Callithrix jacchus: one gene and its partners. The protein of the gene in region 4 purifies or fractionates together with the protein of the main gene of each other region. This does not show direct contact. Links are inferred from orthologs where the notes say so. Each region holds a gene or a part of one and is shown on either strand. Other genes may lie near its edges.

The links.
Region 1: the proteins of OTUD1 (region 4) and FLNC purify together in Homo sapiens (affinity purification with mass spectrometry; 3 studies listed by BioGRID and IntAct, with this or other methods). This does not show direct contact. The link is inferred for Callithrix jacchus from reciprocal best matches to the Homo sapiens genes OTUD1 and FLNC.
Region 2: the proteins of OTUD1 (region 4) and FLNA purify together in Homo sapiens (affinity purification with mass spectrometry; 3 studies listed by BioGRID and IntAct, with this or other methods). This does not show direct contact. The link is inferred for Callithrix jacchus from reciprocal best matches to the Homo sapiens genes OTUD1 and FLNA.
Region 3: the proteins of OTUD1 (region 4) and AIFM1 purify together in Homo sapiens (affinity purification with mass spectrometry; 3 studies listed by BioGRID, with this or other methods). This does not show direct contact. The link is inferred for Callithrix jacchus from reciprocal best matches to the Homo sapiens genes OTUD1 and AIFM1.

What each region holds. Positions count from the first base shown.
Region 1 is NC_133512.1:118,332,959-118,337,299, forward strand, and holds part of FLNC (filamin-C), read right to left. Parts: intron 3,964-4,341; coding exon 3,796-3,963; intron 3,716-3,795; coding exon 3,592-3,715; intron 3,106-3,591; coding exon 2,949-3,105; intron 2,874-2,948; coding exon 2,684-2,873; intron 2,494-2,683; coding exon 2,470-2,493; intron 2,343-2,469; coding exon 2,095-2,342; intron 1,694-2,094; coding exon 1,574-1,693; intron 1,262-1,573; coding exon 1,162-1,261; intron 877-1,161; coding exon 736-876; intron 448-735; coding exon 319-447; intron 225-318; coding exon 51-224; intron 1-50.
Region 2 is NC_133524.1:150,157,020-150,161,360, forward strand, and holds part of FLNA (filamin-A), read right to left. Parts: intron 4,245-4,341; coding exon 3,996-4,244; intron 3,893-3,995; coding exon 3,795-3,892; intron 3,707-3,794; coding exon 3,559-3,706; intron 3,065-3,558; coding exon 2,946-3,064; intron 2,853-2,945; coding exon 2,775-2,852; intron 2,685-2,774; coding exon 2,522-2,684; intron 2,439-2,521; coding exon 2,238-2,438; intron 1,728-2,237; coding exon 1,590-1,727; intron 1,501-1,589; coding exon 1,377-1,500; intron 1,243-1,376; coding exon 1,106-1,242; intron 1,013-1,105; coding exon 819-1,012; intron 589-818; coding exon 475-588; intron 382-474; coding exon 238-381; intron 1-237. UniProt on the Homo sapiens protein: Promotes orthogonal branching of actin filaments and links actin filaments to membrane glycoproteins. Anchors various transmembrane proteins to the actin cytoskeleton and serves as a scaffold for a wide range of cytoplasmic signaling proteins.
Region 3 is NC_133524.1:125,795,436-125,799,595, forward strand, and holds the end of AIFM1 (apoptosis-inducing factor 1, mitochondrial), read right to left. Parts: intron 4,063-4,160; coding exon 3,938-4,062; intron 2,430-3,937; coding exon 2,233-2,429; intron 1,909-2,232; coding exon 1,837-1,908; 3' UTR 1,793-1,836; exon of another isoform or gene 1,658-1,792; intron 1,418-1,657; 3' UTR 925-1,417; downstream 1-924. UniProt on the Homo sapiens protein: Functions both as NADH oxidoreductase and as regulator of apoptosis.
Region 4 is NC_133508.1:23,883,154-23,888,291, forward strand, and holds OTUD1 (OTU domain-containing protein 1), read left to right. Parts: upstream 1-1,746; 5' UTR 1,747-2,129; coding exon 2,130-3,572; 3' UTR 3,573-4,797; downstream 4,798-5,138. UniProt on the Homo sapiens protein: Deubiquitinating enzyme that specifically hydrolyzes 'Lys-63'-linked polyubiquitin to monoubiquitin.

The DNA of each region.
Region 1 (4,341 bases), on a different chromosome or scaffold from region 4:
GCAGGGTGTGTGTGTCTCGTGGGCTGCACGTGCCCATTCATCCGCCTCACCCGTGATCTTAGCTGTGAAGGGGCTCCCTGGGATGTGCTTGTCATCGAAGCGCACAATGATACTGTAGTCCCCAGGTGCGGTCGGCAGGTAGGACACGGTGCAGGTGCCATCCTTGTTGTCCTTACAGGTGATCTCTGCCTTGGATGGGCCCTCCACGGCCAGCGACAGACCCCCTGTAGGTGGAGGTGGGGCCAAGATCAGAGTTCCTGCCCTTGCCCCTGCCCCTGGTGAGTCTCCACCCCAGCCCCCCACCTGTCACTCTCTCACCTTCTCCAGCATCTTTGGTGACAATGGTGAAGGTGGCTGGCTTGTTGACCATGCCATGGCTCAGGCCTGGCCCATAGGCACTGACATGGCGGCTGTTGATGGCGTCCACATAGAACTGCAAGGGGCTCCCTTGGGGGCAGAGAGAAAAAGGGGGCCAGGTCAGCATCGGAGAATGTCTGAGCCCACTTCGGCCCCAGTGCCTTCCAGCAGCCTCCCTGCCAACCCCCTCTGTCTCTGCCGTAGGGACCCACCTGGTGGAGTTTGCCTCCCACCAGGGTATGAGCCTCCCTGGGGCCTCGCATGGTGTCTGCACACAGCGGGTGCTCAATAAATATTTGTTGAAAGAAGGAAGGCAGGACTGAAGCTGCTGCCAGCTCCTCTCACCCAAGCCCCAGCCCAGCCCAGCCCCCAGCTCACCAGGGATGTGGTTGCCGTCGTACTTGATCCCCATCTGGTGCAGGCCTTTCTCGGTGGGCGCGTACCTCACCGTGATGGTGCCGTCCTTGTTGTCGGTAATGTTGGGCCGTGCTGTCTTCCCAGAGGGCATCCGCACCTCCCCTGCAGGGAGATGCAGTTACGTGGGGACCCTGGTTTCCCCCACTGCAACCTCCCTGCTGTCCCAGGCCTGCACCTGAGTGCTTCTGTTGCCACCTGGGAGGCCAGGCACCAGGAGACAGCCTGTGGCAGTTGCCTGAGCCCTGAACTGGGGGACAGATGGTTTGCACCCGAGTTCTGGCTCTGCTCAACCTGCTATGTGGCCCTGGGTAGAGCTCGCTTCCTCTCTCTGGGCCTCGGTTTTCATCTCTAAGACACAGGGCATGCCTGGGGGCCACAGGGCAGTACCTGTAAGCTCCCCTTTCTGCACCGTGAAGGGGATGACCAGGTTGAAGGGCCTCAGCATGGACTCCATTGGCTCTGCAGGCACCACTGGCTCCTCTGTGGCCTGTGGCAGGTAAGAGGGAACAGTCAGTGACTGGGGAAGGCCCGGGAGCTTGGCCTGTGCCATGACTGAAGTTGGAGAGTGAGGAAAGAACAAGGTAGTTAATGGTGAGACCAGCATGGCAAGAGAGGTGCGTCAGCTGCAAGAGAAGGAGTGCGGTGCCCAAGCGGGGCTCCATCTGCCCAGCCTGAGCCCTGCCTGTTCCCCAGGAGGCCCCCAGACCACGCTTCAGCCCTGGCTACAGAAGATTAGAGATGAGAAATGAAGGAAAGGGAGGAGGAGAAGGAGGACATTGCCCAGTGGAAGGCGCAATACCCAATGTGTGGGGCGGGCACCAGGCCTGGGAGAACCGTAGGGCTGGTGGGGAGGAGCATAGGGCTGGTGCAGCTGCGGCACTTCAGAGGGCTCCTCCTCATGCAGCAGGGGGTCACACGCCTGGGGAGGCAAGGCAAGGGGGCACAGGGTGTGGTAGGCTCACAGGCCCAGGGGCTGACTCAGAGAATGGCCCAGGAATCTGAAATGCTGGGTGATGTCTTGGGTGCTCGCCTCTTGGAGGGCTTCATCCTCCTGCAGGGCAGCCTCTGGGGAGCCGGAGCTGGGGATGGTGGAACACACAGCAGGTTCCGGCAGGGGGCAGGGCCCTGTTCTCCTCCCACTTCGGGGGACTGTGGGGAAAGCTAAGGCTCCATCCTGGAGCCCTCTGGCCCCAGGAGCCCTCAAAGTGGTATTCCTTGGGGACAGTTATCTGGGATCCCTGCTGCTGCTAAAAGGGCCAGTCCCCCCATCCCCCCATCGACCCCGGCCAGCTAGTCTTTTGTGGTGGCTTTGGAGCTTACCAGCACGTGGAAGGGGCTGTTGGGGATGTGCTCGCCCCCGAAGCGGATGGTGATGACGTACTTGCCCGGTTCGGGCGCTGTGTAGTAGATGTCAAAGGTACCATCATGGTTCTCAACCACGTCCACATCGAGCTCTGCCCCATCCGGTGTGGACACCGTGCATGTCACCTTCCCCTCGCCGGCTGCCTTGGCATCCACTGTGATCACCGTCTCCTGCCCAATCTGGATTCGGGGGCCCAGGCAGGCACCTGCCATGTGGGAGATCCTGCTCAGGAGGCTGGAGGTCTGGAGGCAGCCCTCTCTGTTCCTGGCTGCCCACCCCCCACTGCTAACCACCCTGGCCCACAGCAAGAAGAGGAGAGAAAGGGCACTCACCCAGGCCGTGGCCTCCAATGGACACTGGAAAGAGAAGAGTGTGAGGTCAGGCCGTGCTCAGTGTGGACTGGGGCATTGTGTCGGGGAGGGCAGGGCCAGGGCTGGGACGTGTGTGTCCTCTCACCAGCAGACCCCTGGGGACCAGGCCAGGGCTCTGGAGGGGATTTGAGGGGCTGGGTGGTGAGCAGGGCACAGGGAGCGGGTGTACACCTACCTGTGACGAGGCACTTGCTGGCATCCCCAGTGGGCAGAGCATGGATGCGGAAGGGCGAGTAGGGGATCTCATCGCCGCCATATTTGATGGTGATGGTGTACCGACCGCTCATGTCTGGCAGGTAGGACACGGTATATGTGCCATCCCCATTGTCCCGGATGTTGGCCTTCTTGGGCTTACCCTCGGGGTCCTGAGGGAGAAGAAGAGGTCAAGGTCCACCTGTGCCTGGAGCATGACCTGGGGGGTGGGCTGTGCAGGGACTCACCAGGATCTGGACAGTGAGCAACCCCTCGCCCGCATCCCGTGCATCGATGGTGAACTCCACCGGCAGGCTGGCAGGGATGCCAGAGGCGTTGAGGCCGGGGCCACTGGCCCGCACCTTGCTGGCATCATGAGCTGGAAGGACTTTGATCTTGAAGGGGCTTGAGGAGCAGAAGGGATAGATAGTTGACTGGGGCTATGGACAGGGTAGGGGGTGATTTCATCTTGAACCAGATTCCTACCCATAGACATGGGCAGGAAGGAGGACTGTGGACCAGGGAGGAGGGACCAGTTCCCAGAAGCTGATTACATTCTGAGTCTGGGGGCAGGGCCACTCTGGGACTCCTGTGACAGAGACAGGGCACTTCTCCATTCCCCAGGAAGGTGCTATGGGAGGGCCTGGGGGGAGGCCCTGGCCCAGGCCTCCTGCTCATTTCCTAAGGCGCTAGTTTTGCTGTAAAAGCTCCTGGGGCAAGACAGCCTCAGGGCAGAGCCCTGGGGAAGAGCTAGATAGGGCAGGGAGACTGGATGAGGCTGACAGCGGGAGGGGCTCTCCCAGGGGCCCCCAGCAGTGACCCTGCAGTGCCGCCCCAGCAGGAGCACCTCAGAGCTCAGCTGCAGCACGGGAGCCCAGCGCTGGTCCTCACCTGCGTGGCACCTCCTGGTCAGCATATTTGACGGCTACCGTGTAGGGCCCATCTGTGGCTGGGGTGTAGTGGACAGTGTGGGTGCCATCTCCATTGTCCCGCACCTCCACAGGCTCGGCCACACCTGGACAAGGGCGCAGGGTCAGCAGAGCCTCCGGACAGCCCCCCCCAACTTCCCTCCTCCCTGCCCCGGCCATTCTATACCTGTGGGACCCAGCACAGCCACCTGCAGAGGTGCCCGGCCAGCCTGACTGCAGTCCACGGTGAACGTCTGGGGGACCCGGGCCCTGACACCGGCCCCCAGCCCTGGGCCTGAGCATTTCACTTTCCCGGGGTCCACCACATCCTTCACCGGCACCCGGAATGGGCTCCCTGTGAAGAGAAGGACATCAGCTCCTGCCCACCACCTGGGAGGGTCCCCCTGATGCTGAAGAGTCACGGAGGAGGAGACCTTCCTGCCTTTGAAATGCCCACAGGGAGGTCACACCAACATGGGAACAGGCCTAGGAACTTGCTAAGAAAGCACACACAAGAATAAACGAACTTGACTGCAGACTGAGGCCGGGCAAACCTCACTCATGTGGGTCCCAGGCCTGAAAGATAAGGCCTTCCTAAAAATGTGGAAATAATTTTTTTTTTTTCTGAGACGGAGTTTTGCTCTTGTTGCCCAGGCTGGAGTGCCATGGCGAGATCTCAGCTCACCACAACTTCCGCCACCGGGTTCAAGCAATTCCCTTGCCTCACCTCACC
Region 2 (4,341 bases), on a different chromosome or scaffold from region 4:
TGGTAAGTGGAAGAAGCCAGACACAAAAGGTCACATGGCACGTGAGTCTGTCTCCAGAATGTGTGTAACAGAGGCAAAGCCACAGTGGAAAGCCGGGTAGTGTTCACCAGGGGCTGTGGGATGATGTAAATGTCCTAAACTTAGGTGGTTATGGTCACACAACTCTGTGAAAGCGCTACAATCACTGACTTGTCCACTTGAAATGGATGAATCATGTGCCCGTGGAGGTTGGCTCACCCTGAAGGGGCTGTTGGGGATACTGACGCCACCCCAGGACACCATGGCTGTGTGCTTCACCGGCTTCCTGGGCACGTAGGAGCAGCTGTAAGTGCCGTTGCCGTTGTCCTTGACCAACGCCTCCACAGGGCAGCCTTCATTGTCCTGCCAGGTGGGTAGGAGCAGGCGGCCTGCTGCTCAGTGCCCAGGCCTGGGTACCCATGCCTGCCCTGCCCCCAACACCCACGGGCGCTGTACCTGGACTTGGACCCGGAGCGGGGCCTTGCCACCGTGCTTGGCATCCACTGTGAACTCTGCCGGCTTGTTGACGGCCACACCTGTCTTCTCCAATCCTGGCCCACGTGCCTTCACCTAGTGGGAGACCAGCCAGATCTTAGGGGAACAGATCTAGGCCACCAGAGCTACAACCCAGGCAGGGTGGCCAGAGACACAGTGCCAGGAACACTGCTGGGAATACCAGCCCAGGGCCTGTACCCAGGACCCCCCGCCTGGCTGATTGGAAGGGGCTTGTGCCACCCTCACTGGGCCCCCCAAGCAGAAGCAGCAGGCTGAGACTGAGGCCATCACTGGCTGCCCTTTACCCTGTCTGGGTGGAAGTCCTGGGGTGCGTCGCGGATGTCAGCCATGAAGGGGCTGAGGCGGATGTCCTCACTGTTGCACAGCACGTGAACAGCATACTCGCCAGCCTCCTGCGGCCAGTAGCGCACGTCACAGGAGCCGTCACCCTTGTCATCACATTCGATCTTGGCCTGAGATGGACCTTCCACCGAGAACCCTGACAACAGCCACCAGTCCCCTCAGTGCCCTGGAGCCTCAGGGTGGGCTGTCCTCGCCACCGTCTGTGCCCATGCTGCAGTCTCCAACTTACCCAGGGTGCCCACGTCGTCCCCAATAGCCTCCACCACAAAGTCTGCTGACTTGCCAGCAACGCCGCCCTCCAGCCCAGGGCCCCAGGCCCGCACCTTCTGATTGCCACACTCCGTGCCCACCTTCACCTCACAGGGACTGCGAATGGGAGAGCCACACAGGGAACACCGAGGATCACCACGCTGCTGGACAGCCCACCTGGGCTCATCAGGTGGGGAGGCAGAGGAAGAGACAGTGCACAGAGCTGTGAGAGGGACGCTTGGGGTTCTCACCTGCGCCCGATGTTCTGACCGCCCCACGTGATGGTGACGATGTAGGTCCCAGGGACCATGGGGTAATACTCGAAGCCATACACACCATCCCCCAGGTCCTTCTGCTTCACACGCTCCTCTCCCTCTGCCAAGACAAGGAGGACCTCAGGCCTGCACAGCAGTGACCCTGGGGGCTGCCGCCACCCACCCTGGCCTAGCTCCAGGCCAACTTACTGGGGCCCTTCACAGTGACCTTCAGCTCCCCACTGCCAGCACCCTTTGTGTACACCTTGAAGTCAGCTGTCTCCTTCACTCGAACACCCTTGGGCTGAAGGCCCCGGCCAACAGCCCGGCAGGCACTCGGGTTACAGGCTGTAGGCAGAGGGGCCAGCTGAGCGCTGGCAGCTGGGCTGGGCACCCCTTCCCCGGCCTCCCACAGGGCCAGGCTGTCAGGATTGGAGAGGGACATGCAAGAAAGAACTGGAAGGGACTGTGACCCCAGGAACTGTGGCTTGGGCCAGGCCTCCTCCCACCTGCCCCATGCCAGCCCAGAGGCCCCAGCCCTCCCCTCCAAGAAGAAGACAGATCCAAGTACCGTTGACCCTGTGGGCAGAGCAGAGGGCAGCAGGTAGGTTTCTAGACAGCTGGAGCGAGCTCTTCCGAAGGTGAAAGCATGGAGAGGAGAGAGATGGAGGGGCGAGGAGCCGAGAGGAGAGGAGGAAGGGCCCCAGCAGGGGAGGAAAGACAGCAGGTGCCCAGATAGTGAAGCTCAAAGATGGGGTCCCGGGGTGGGCTGCAGCAAGACTGGCCCAGGGGGCTCCCCCTCATGTGGGAGGCCCAGGCTGCAGTGCCACAGCAGAGGTTGTCCAGGGCCAGGCCTACCTTGGCCAACAGTGACAGTGTAGGGGCTGCGAGGGATGGGCACACCGGCGAATGTGACGTGCACCGTGTGGACGCCCTCCATGGTGGGCTGGTAGCTGCAGCGGTAGGTGCTGTCACCCCGGGCCTCCAGCTGAGGCTCCACGGTGCTCTTCTGTCCCATGGGGTCCTGGATTACAACCTCGACCTCGCCCGTGCCAGCGCCTGCCATGAGGCACCCACTCAGCTCCCAGGCCCCAGTGCAGCTCTCCCCAAAGACCAGCCAGGCCTTGGCAGCCTCCCCTCACCTGCTGTGAAGATCTCGAAGTAGGTGGTCTTGTTGGCAATGTTGCCACTGGGTTCCAGGCCAGGGCCTTGTGCAGTCACTTTGCTGGCGTCACCCTGTGACTTATCCACGGACACCTCAAAGGGGCTCTTGGCAATGTGCTGGCCAGCAAAGAGCACAGTGACCTATCCCCAGAAGGGTGGGCCGTGAGCGTGGGGCTGGGGCCTCGAGCCACCGCCTGAGGTCACAAGCCTCCCCACTATCCAAGGGCTCACCTTATGAGTCCCCGTCACCTCGGGGACATACCAGACGGAGAAGGTGCGGTTTTTGTCGTTATTGGCAGTCACTTTGGCCTGCGGTAGGAAGGAGCCCATGAGCCTTTGCTAAGAGCAGTCCCACCGAAAGGGAGCACTGCTGGGCCCTCAGCTGCCAGCAGGGGGCCCTACCTCCTCCTGGTGTCCTGCCGGGTCCTCCACATACACCAGCACCTCTCCCTGGCCGGCACTTCTGGTCTCCACAGTGAACTCAGCCCGCTTCTTCACCATGATGCCTGTGGGCTCAATGCCTGGCAGGAGAGTGTGAGCCAGCCACGGGCCAGCTGTTAGGGTCACAGCCTCACCCCTCCACCCAAACGTGAAGGCAGACGGGTAGAGGACCAGTGCTGTACCAGCCCCCAGGCCTCTGCAGGCTCAATGCCCCTCCCTGCTGGCCCCCAAGTCGGGCACATTCCAAACTGGGCAAGTTCATTCAGTGTAAGCCGTGGCACAGAGCCTGGCCTCGGGACCCAGCTGTGCTCTTGCTGCTGGGACAGGCCCGTGCCTGTTTTCTGGAACACTGATTCTCACCGCACTGGGCCCTGTTACCGAGACCTGCTTCAGCTCCATTTATAATAAAGCCCACTGGACCCCATGCAGCAGGCTTCTATGACTGAAGGAACCTCTGGTATTCTCGTGTCTACTCAGTGGAGTGTTTTTAGTCCCAACCTCCTCTTGTCTGACTCTCGGGTGGCTTGATCACCTAGCTGCCATGTAACCCAAGACTTCTCGGGACCTCACTCACCTGGCCCATAGGCACGGGCTTTCTTCGGGTTCAGCTTGGGCCGCAAGGGAGCCCCTGGCTTCAGCTTGGCCTTGGGGAACTGGGACAGGTAGGTCATGACAGAGTGTTCGTCCACATTGGGGTCCACAATCTCCTCGGGGGTGATCACCTGTCAGGGGCAGAAAACAGCATCCTTCGAATCTCTCCCCGCTACCGATTGGTCCCCTACAGCCGCAGGCAGGGCCCAGCGGGTATACCTGAGGGATGCCCAGCCAGTCGTCAGCCTGCTGCATAGCCTCCCGCGCATTGTTCACAGGCTTGCTGGCATCCCAGGAGTCCCAGTCAGGACACAGGCCTGCAGCACAAGGAAGGCTGTGAGTCTGGGGTCCACAGAAACCCCTCAAGGGCCATCCATGGGCAACCCCAGCCCAGTCTCCCCTGCCTCTGCGCCCCCTTACCTGGTGCACAGCTGTCGACCAGGGCACCCAGGGCCCGGCCACTCTGCCAGTCGCGGCTGAAGTTGGTGATGGGCAGCTGTGGCAGCTTGTTCTGGATCCAGCCCAGGAGTCTCTGCTTGGGGGTCTGCTTCTTGGCCTCCTCATCCTCCTCCTCATCCCACATGGGCATGGAGATGGAATAGTGCAGGATCAGAGTCCAGATGAGGCCCAGGATCAGCTTCAGGTTCCCGTCCACGATGGCCTTGCTGTCTGTGAGTAGAAGAGTGGCAGTGCCAGGAACCCAGCTGTGCGGGAAGGGCCGCTCACAGGCTGCAGGGTCACGGTCTGGCAGCTCGGGGTGGGGTGG
Region 3 (4,160 bases), on a different chromosome or scaffold from region 4:
TTTCACTGTGTCACCCAGGTTGGAGTGCAATGGTGCGACCTCAGCTCACCACAACCTCCACCTCCCAGGTTCAGGCAATTCTCCTGTCTCCGCCTCCTGAGTAGCTGCGACTACAGGCACATGCCACTACACCTGGCTAATTTTTGTATTTTTAGTAGAGAGGACAGGGTTTCACCACGTTGGCCAGGCTAGTCTCGAACTCCTGACCTCAGGTGATCCACCCACTTTGGCCTCCCAAAGTGCTGGGATTATAGGCATGAGCCACCATCCTCAGCCTTCGATGAGTTTTCTACATAGGGATTTGGATATGTCATTTGGACATGATCATATCTGACTAAATCTGTATCCATATATTACTGTTTGGTATACCTGAACTGCTAATTTTTACAGTGGAGATTTGGCCTGTTCTCCCAGTATTCAGAAAGGATTTGGTTGAAGCTGAAACTGCCCTTGATCAAACCCAATATTAAAAAAAATCCAGACTGGTAATAATTTTCTCTTTACATACACGGAGTTTCACAACAGGACTCTTGAAAGTAGTAACAAATTCCTATTAAATAAGATTTGATTTTTTTAGGCCAGGCACAGTGGCTCATGCCTATAATCCCAGCACTTTGGGAGGCCAAGGTGGGCAGATCACCTGAGGTCAGGAGTTTGAGATCAGCCTGACCAACGTGGAGAAACCCTGTCTCTACTAAAAATACAAAATTTACCAGGCGTGGTGATGTATGCCTGTAATCCCAGCTACTCAGGAGGCTGAGGCAGGAGAATTGCTTGAACCTGGGAGGCGGAGGTTGTGGTGAGCTGAGATCGCACCCCTGCACTCCAGCCTGGGCAACAAGAGCGAGACTCCATCTCAATAAAATAAAATAAAGTAAAATTTGATTTTTAAAAGTTAAGCAATCTAAAATGCCAAACAACAAGTTGACTTGTGAAACTCTGAATTGTATTCCCAGGAAAATAATCTAAAGTGAGGTATGCCCACAAGTGTATTTTAGAGAAAAGGTGCGTTAGAGAGGGCAGATGTCTAGTATGAAGACAACAGGCAGAAGAGTCAAGAAATGATGGTCCTTCCAGGAGTCCATCTCCAGGTTTCACTGTGAAGAACCAGGTCTCTGGACTCAGATTTGCAGTCAGTGTCCTTCCTGTCCCCTGCAGGATCCAATGCAGTTCTGGGACAGGAGTTGTTCCAGGTAAAACTGAGTCTCTTCCATACATTTATTTGCTTACTCATTCGACAATGATTTATGAAGCACTTACTATGAGCCAGAGCCTGTGCTAAGCTCTGGAGATAAAACCATGAGCAAGACCTCAATGTCAGGGCTTCTGCTTCCAGGAAGTCATGGGCGAGCAGGGAGACACATATACAAGGATGAGGCCTGGAGGGCTGCGAACATCTTCAGAGATAGTGAACCTCCTGAGAAGAGAGGAGGGGAGTCAAGTGTTGTGGGCCGAGGCCACAGTAGGTGCGTGCAAAGAGGTCTGGAGGGGTGAGGGAAGTTCAGGAAAGGAAAGGAGTTTCACCTGTGGAACAGGGAATGAATACACGGCTGAGAAAAACCCTGTGCTTGGTCAGTGCTGCGATTTGCTTGCTTTCTAATATGCATGGTTTTCCTCTTTTACCCACCTGCCTCCTTGACCACAGAACAGAAATTAATTTAGAAGAATCAGAATTTATTTCACTATGTGAACATTAAGAATTTGCCTACATAGTTGAAAATATTCACAAAGGACTTGAACATTCACACTCATATACAGAGAAAGTCTGCTGAATTAAAAAATGCTCCTTTACCCATCCGACCTCAGCAGCGGGTTTGCCAATTCCACTGTGGCACTTCAGTCTTCATGAATGTTGAATAGTTTGGCGACTTCATTGAGATCTTCATGCTGCTCACCATCCTTAATTATCTGAGGGAGAGAGTAACAATAGGTCCCTAACTCATTCCATGTGTGTTCAGGCCATGCCCACACAATGGGGCCACCATATCACACTGGGAGGGAGTTGTGGGAACACCTTTCTACTAACCCAAAACAAGCAGCCTGACAACTCCCAGATCACCCAGCCAAGTCCCAGGTGAAAAAGAATGTTCCTGAGCCAAGGCTATACCTTTGTTCTGCTTAGGCACAATTTGACCTGGGGGTACAATGTATCTCAGGGCACCTGATGAAGTTACAGGAGTCTTTCTGACCTGCACTTCCCACCTTCCTCTAAGAGCTATGACGGGCACCTACCTTCCTTGCTATTGGCATTCGGTTAAAGATGTTCCATAGCACAATCCCCACGACCACTTTGTCCCTGAGGTAAAAGACGACACCTTTGCCGTAGTCCTCCCCCTGGACGGGGGCCTGTGGAACTCCCGGAGTGCTGGGAGGAATAGTAATTTCTGAGGCCTCGGACTCTGTCTCACTCTCTGATCGGATACCAGTTCCTGTGGCCAGCCCCCAAAACAAACAAACACAGAAGCACAATCAAAACTTTAGTTATTACAAGCTTGGGAAATTCGAAAAGACAACAGTCTTTTGAGGCCTGCTTCAAGCTACTTCTAGAGGATTTATTTCTCTATGCCCCTCAGTAAACTCTGGCCTTCTCCAGCCCCTCTCCACTGACAAAGCCAAGGAATAAAGTCTTCCTTGCCAGCTTCTGGGCACTGGGTCAGTCTGACCCAAAACTTCCTTCCCTTATTACCTCCTTTTAAATTTATGCTATGGATATTTCCTGGTATCTGGATTTCTTCAAACTGCAAAAGGCTGGTTCTTGTCCTCTGAGGAACATTCTAGAACTGCATGGTCCAAATACAGTAGCCACTAGCCACAGATAGCCATGTAAATGAACATCATTTCAAACTGAGTAAGATATAAAATTCAGTTCTTCATCGGTACTCACCATGTTTCATGGGTTCAAAAGCGACATGTGGCTAGTGGCTAATGTACTGGACAGAGCAGAGATGAAACATTTCCATCGCAGCAGAAAGTTCTATTGAACAGTGTTATTAGACACTTTAGCCAAAGCAGAAGGCACTTCCATATGGAAAAACCATAGTGGAGGCATTTCTTCCTAGAGAAAGATAAGAGGGGAAGGAAAGGGTGGCAAGGGAGGGGGGAACCTCGTCTTCTGAGAACCACCAGGCTCCAAATAATACTGTCCAGTGGACAGACTGGTGACCTGAATCCACTTACTAGGTTACTAGGAGAGATCAGAATTAAGGAGTATGCAATACATAAGAATTACACAGGAAAAGGACCTACATATCCATAATATGTCTTGCTTCCTCCTTCTTAAAGAGCACCTTGCCCTTGAAATACCTCTGGCAAAAGGACACAGAGGTTAAATAACTTGAGCTAAGGTCAAGGAATAAGGTCTTGGAGTTAATGAAAGAGACATGTGTGGGAGAGAAGTCCATTCCAAGAGCGGTGCCTCCCATCTAAAGAAAACCTGGCACTATGATCTGCCGAATGGAATGAAAGGCAGCTGAAGAACTACTCAGCCCAGTTCCTCCCTGCCTGGGACCCATGGAGGATAGCCAGTCTGAAGCTAAGGCTCTCAGGCTGCGTTCTTGAGATTTACCTGAAGCAAAATAATAAAAATGACAACTGAAAGAAAGAAAAGTAAAAACACAACCTAAAAAGTTCAGGTTTTCTTGTTTTCTTCCTTAAGATAGGTCTTCCCAGAGACAAAACAACAGCGTCGTTGAGCTAGCCACTGTCCACTGTCTAGGGCGGATACCCACAGTATTTGAATCTATGCTTTGACCAGGACACCTGATTGTGCCAAATCTCATACCACTAAAGAGTGAGGACTTGGGGTTTGGTTTCTTTTAAAGCACAACATGAAGAGAGGCTTTCACTGACAAGCCCCTCCGGCCAATACAGAAGCTCCTTGTTCAGGAGAGTCTGGATCACTGCTTCTCAATTCTCTCCAAGAGGAGTGCTTCCTTACCTGACTGCTCTGTGGCAGATTTGGGGTTGTCCTGTGCAGTTGCTTTTGCAAAAACACCAACTGTGGGCAAACTACTGTCCACAAGACCAATAGCTTCATAGCCAACATCGGGGCCCAAATCACTCCTAAGAAGAGAGAAGAGCATGTTCTGTCAAGGGACTGTAAGGAGGAATGACATGGTAGCACATACTGTCCAGGACACTGCAATCTTTTTTTTTTTTTT
Region 4 (5,138 bases):
AGTGACCTGAGCCGGGATCCTGCCAGTCATACTGCCCAAAGATAAGTAAAAGGCCTGGCTAGCGTCAAGGGACCTGGATAGAAATCTTGGCTTTGCCACTGTCTGAGACATCTTTAGAACTGGCTTTCCATCTACTCATTCACTTAGTAGATATGAATTAAGTCTAATTATGTGCCAGGCACTGTGTTAGAGGATGGAAATACAAAGAGCAAGACCAAGTCTCTCAATTCAAGGAATTCACATTCCACTGGAAAGGTGGGGGCAGGAGTACAGCTTACATCACCTACAGGTCCAGGTTCCCTATCTCTAAAATCTTAGGACAACCTCTAGGTTCAATTTTAATGTGTTGGGTCTGTTAAATTTAGCATTTGATCAAAGCTCAGAACAGAGCAAAAGTCTCCCACCACCTCTGGCTCTCCCTTACAAAGGCAGGCATTACAAAAAGACTCGGTAGAAGCATTTTCTTTAGTTTGTCTTGCCCTAGAATGCAGGTCACGACTTTCTCCACTGCTTTTGACCTCTGGCTAGCAATTGTACCTATTTTCAAAAGGCCCTAAGTGATAATGCTTTTGGTATTCTGAGAACGGCTGTTTATGAAAGGCTTCCTTGCTTTCGCCTAAGTCAGATATTTACCAGGTGGCATAGGTCAGAGGTGCAGAAAAGTTTGTTTTGTCTTAGCAGGGCAGGAGGATCCACTAGAGGACTCACTCTTAACAGGTGAGTCCAAGGAAGCGCCTACAAAAGACGCAGTGGTGAAACTAGCTGGGCACCTGTAATCCCTACCCAAGGCAAGGCTGAGGAAGGGGGATCGCTTGGACCCTGGAGGTCGAGGCATGATGGCGTCACTGCATTCAGCCTAGATGGCTAAGCAAGACCTTGCCTCAAAAAGAAAAAAAAAGGTAAAAGATGTGGTAGTGCCAGGCGTGGTGGCTTGGGCCTGTAATCAATCCTAACACTTTGGGAGGTTGAGGCGGGAAACAGCTTAAGGCCAGGAGTTCCATACCAGACTGGGCAACTGAAGTGAGGCCCTCGCCTTAAAAAAAAAATTAGCTGGGTGAGGTGGTGCACGCCTGTGGTTTCCAGCTACTCTGGAGGCTGAGGCTGGAAGATCGCTTGAGCCACGGGAGGTCAAGGGTGCAGTGGGCTCTGACTGAGCCACTGCACTACAGCCTGGGCGACAGAAGGGACCCTCATCTCTAAAAAAAATAAAGAAAAAAAGAAAAGAAGCAGTGGTGAACGCAAGCAGGTATGGTAGCCCAATACCATGGGGAGGCCAAACAGGCTTTAAGGCAGCATTCCGTCCTCCACACCCAGCCCGGAAGCTTTCCTGCCACACAAGCTTTCCAAGCATGCTAGCTCGCCCCAAGCAGCGCCCATCCCGCAGCATCCACTGCAGCCACCGCAGAGAGCGGCGCAGCTTAGAAACCCGTCCCCAGGTGGGGAAAACGGTCCGCGGGAGTCACGTGGGCGGGAGGCCCAGCCAGAAATCTCAAGACTGCGCAGGCCCCTGAGCCTCAGCGCCCCCGGCTCCGCCCCGCCCGCGCGCGAGTGCGCGCGCGCGCGCGGGGGACTACGCCCGTGACGTCGGCGGGGCACAGCGGAGCGGGACAGGAGGCGGGGCGCGGGCCGGAGTGGGTGGGGCGAGTCGGTGCTGCTGAATCGGGCGCCCGGACGAGTCGCGCATTCCAGCGGGGTCATGTGACGCGGCCGCGAGGCCTGAGGTAAACAACCGCGGCCCCGCCTCCCGGGCCTCCGCGCGCCCCGCGCTCCTCCTTGTCGGCGAGACGCGCTCTAGCGGGGTGGGTAGCTTCTTCCGAGAGTCCCCTGCGGCCGCCGCAGCAACTGCAGCGGGCAAGGCGCCCAGGGTCTGCAGGCCGAGCGCACCGGCAGGGGTCGAGCGCGCGTCCCGTCCCCGCCCTCCCCCCACGCTGTGGCGCAGCAGGAATTTGGCCGGGACCCGGGAGCTATTCGCGGCTGCTGACGCGCGGCGGCCGGCGACCGGGCGCTCATCTCTATTCTGGGGCCGTTTGGTCACCGCGCTCCGCCGGCCCCCTCCCCCGGGCCCGGAGGGTGTGTCCCCCGCTCGGGGGCTCGCCGCGCCTATAAGGGGCCGAGCGGCGGGCAGGGACATGCAGCTCTACAGCAGCGTCTGCACCCACTACCCCGCCGGGGCCCCGGGTCCCACGGCCGCAGCCCCCGCGCCGCCTGCAGCCACCGCCGCCGCCCCCTTCAAGGTCTCGCTGCAGCCCCCGGGAACCGCCGGCGCCGAGCCCGAGACCGGTGAGTGCCAGCCCGCCGCGGCCACAGAGCCCCGGGAAGCCGCCGCTGTCCCCGCCGCCAAGATGCCTGCCTTCTCCTCTTGCTTCGAAGTGGTGTCCGGGGCCACCGCGCCCGGATCCGCAGCCGCCGGCCCGCCCAGCGCGTCCTGCAAGCCGCCACTGCCGCCGCACTACACTTCCACCGCGCAGATCACCGTGCGGGCCCTGGGCGCCGACAGGCTCCTGCTGCACGGGCCCGAGCCCGCTCCCGGCGCCGCGGGCTCTGCGGCCGCCCCGCGCGGCCGCTGCCTCCTGCTGGCCCCGGCGCCCGCAGCCCCCATCCCGCCGCGACGGGGCTCTTCCGCCTGGCTCCTGGAGGAGCTGCTGCGGCCCGACTGCCCCGAGACGGGCTTGGAGGCGGCCCGGGAGGGGCCCGATCGGAACTTCCGACTGAGCGAGCACTGCCAGGCCCTGGCCGCTGCCAAGCATCGAGGCCTCGCGCCCACCCCGGGGAGTCCCGACGCCGGCCCCGGTCCGTGGGGCGAGGAGCACCTGGCGGAGAGGGGCCCCCGGGCCTGGGAGAGGGGCGGCGACCGCTGCGACGCGCCTGGCGGGAACGCGGCTCGGAGGCCCGACCCGGAGGCCGAGGTGTCTCCCGGCCGGAGCAGCGAGGCTGCCCCGAGCAGCGCGGTGGAGCCGGTGGTTGTCCCCAGGTCGGATCCCAGAGACGAGAAGCTGGCCCTGTACCTGGCCGAGGTGGAGAAGCAGGATAAATACCTGCGGCAGAGAAATAAGTATCGATTCCACATCATTCCCGACGGCAACTGCCTGTACCGAGCTGTCAGCAAGACTGTGTACGGCGACCAGAGCCTGCACCGAGAGCTGAGGGAGCAGACCGTGCACTACATCGCCGACCATCTCGACCACTTCAACCCCCTGATTGAGGGCGACGTAGGGGAGTTTCTCATCGCTGCTGCCCAAGACGGGGCATGGGCTGGGTACCCCGAGTTGCTGGCCATGGGGCAGATGCTGAATGTGAATATCCACTTAACTACTGGAGGGAGGCTGGAGAGCCCCACGGTGTCTACCATGATTCATTATTTGGGCCCAGAGGATTCCCTGAGGCCCAGTATTTGGCTCAGTTGGCTCAGTAACGGACACTATGATGCTGTATTTGATCACTCCTATCCTAACCCAGAGTACGACAACTGGTGCAAACAAACTCAAGTGCAGAGGAAACGCGATGAAGAACTTGCCAAATCTATGGCCATATCCCTGTCTAAAATGTATATTGAACAAAACGCATGCTCTTGAAGTGTCTCAAAACCTTAACACCCTGGGAAAATTGCATACATAACTTGTGTTTGGAGAATCACGTGAACTCTAATCAGGGTAATAGCACTTTCAAACTTCCTAGTAGATTTTACTGTAGGTGTAATGCCTTAATCATCTTTTTGAATGTTTTCTCAGAGCTGAAGGTTGCTGGGCACCCAAATGATGTTTCATGATAGCTTAGGGTGATTTTACTGCTATTTATAATTTGCTGTATAAAGTGAGCACTACTTAATTTGCAAGCTGTTTTCTCACAGTGTAAATTTGTTCATTCCTGGTAGTCTATTTTCTATAAAAATGTATTTTTGCACAACATTTTTAAAAACTGGTGTACCTTCATCTATGACGTGTCCCATTTTGACAGCTTTCAAGCATAAATCCAGAGAAGTGCTTTATATGAAATGTATTATTTTGAACAGAGTTTGTGATTTGGTAGTTCTTACGTTGTTGAAATTTGATTTTCACAATTCTTAGATAATTATTTCAGATGGATATTGATGTATTCTTGTTACCAAGTGTTTGGCCCATTCCATTTTGATGAAACAAATCTGTTCTGTTGGAAATAATTATTTTTCTAGAAATGGTGAATCTTTTAAAGAGAAATACTTAACAGAAGGTTGTGGGAAGGTTTTTTTTCTTCTTTTAAGGGATAGTACCAGGTCTTACTTGAATGAAAGTCTGATATTTGCCGATGACAGAGTGATTATTCTGTACCCTGGTTAATGTGTAAATTGTCTGGTGCTCTCAGTTTTATTTACATTTGTCACTTTGTTATAAGAGAATCTAACTTGGTATAAAATTTTGTGACAAGATAAGCCTCCTGCTTTATATAACTTCTTGGATCCAGCTAAGAGATTTATAAACTAATGTCATAAATGTCTGGAGCCAACCTTGGCAGTTATAGCAGGAGAACACTGTCTTAGTATTTCTTTTACATTCTTTCAAAAGGCAAAAAAGGATTGCCCTGTATTAACTTAGAAATGTCTGTAAACAGAGCTTGTGTGGTTTGCTGGGTCAAACAATGTTTCCCACTTAAAATCTATCTCATTGCCACTTTAACTACTTTTAGTCATATTTATTAAGTAATGCAGTTTGTACTTTTTTATTTTGTAACATTTTGTGATTTTTTTGTACAAAACTGTATTTGTACAATAGAGCAATTCCCAGCTGATGGAATGAATGAATAAAATGCAAAATTATACTTTTACAGTGCTTTCATGGATAGTGTTTTTTAAATTCTGATTCTTGAAGGAAACTTTCTTACACATGTGCATATACACAGTTCTTTTTTTCCATAAAGATGCCACAGCAATAGAGAAGTTTCCTAAATTCTCACATGAAGAGGACAGGCTAATCATGAGTAATTTCAAAGGATGAGTCTGAATAAAATATAATTTAAAGGTGGAGTAATCCAAGAAATTGCTCTCATTATTTCTAATTATAATTCCTGTTTACAATTCTAGCTGTACCTATTGGCTAATGAAAAAGGAAGTGCAAGTTTTGTGTCAGCCAGCAGCATGTCTAATTAAATGTCATATTTTTGTATTC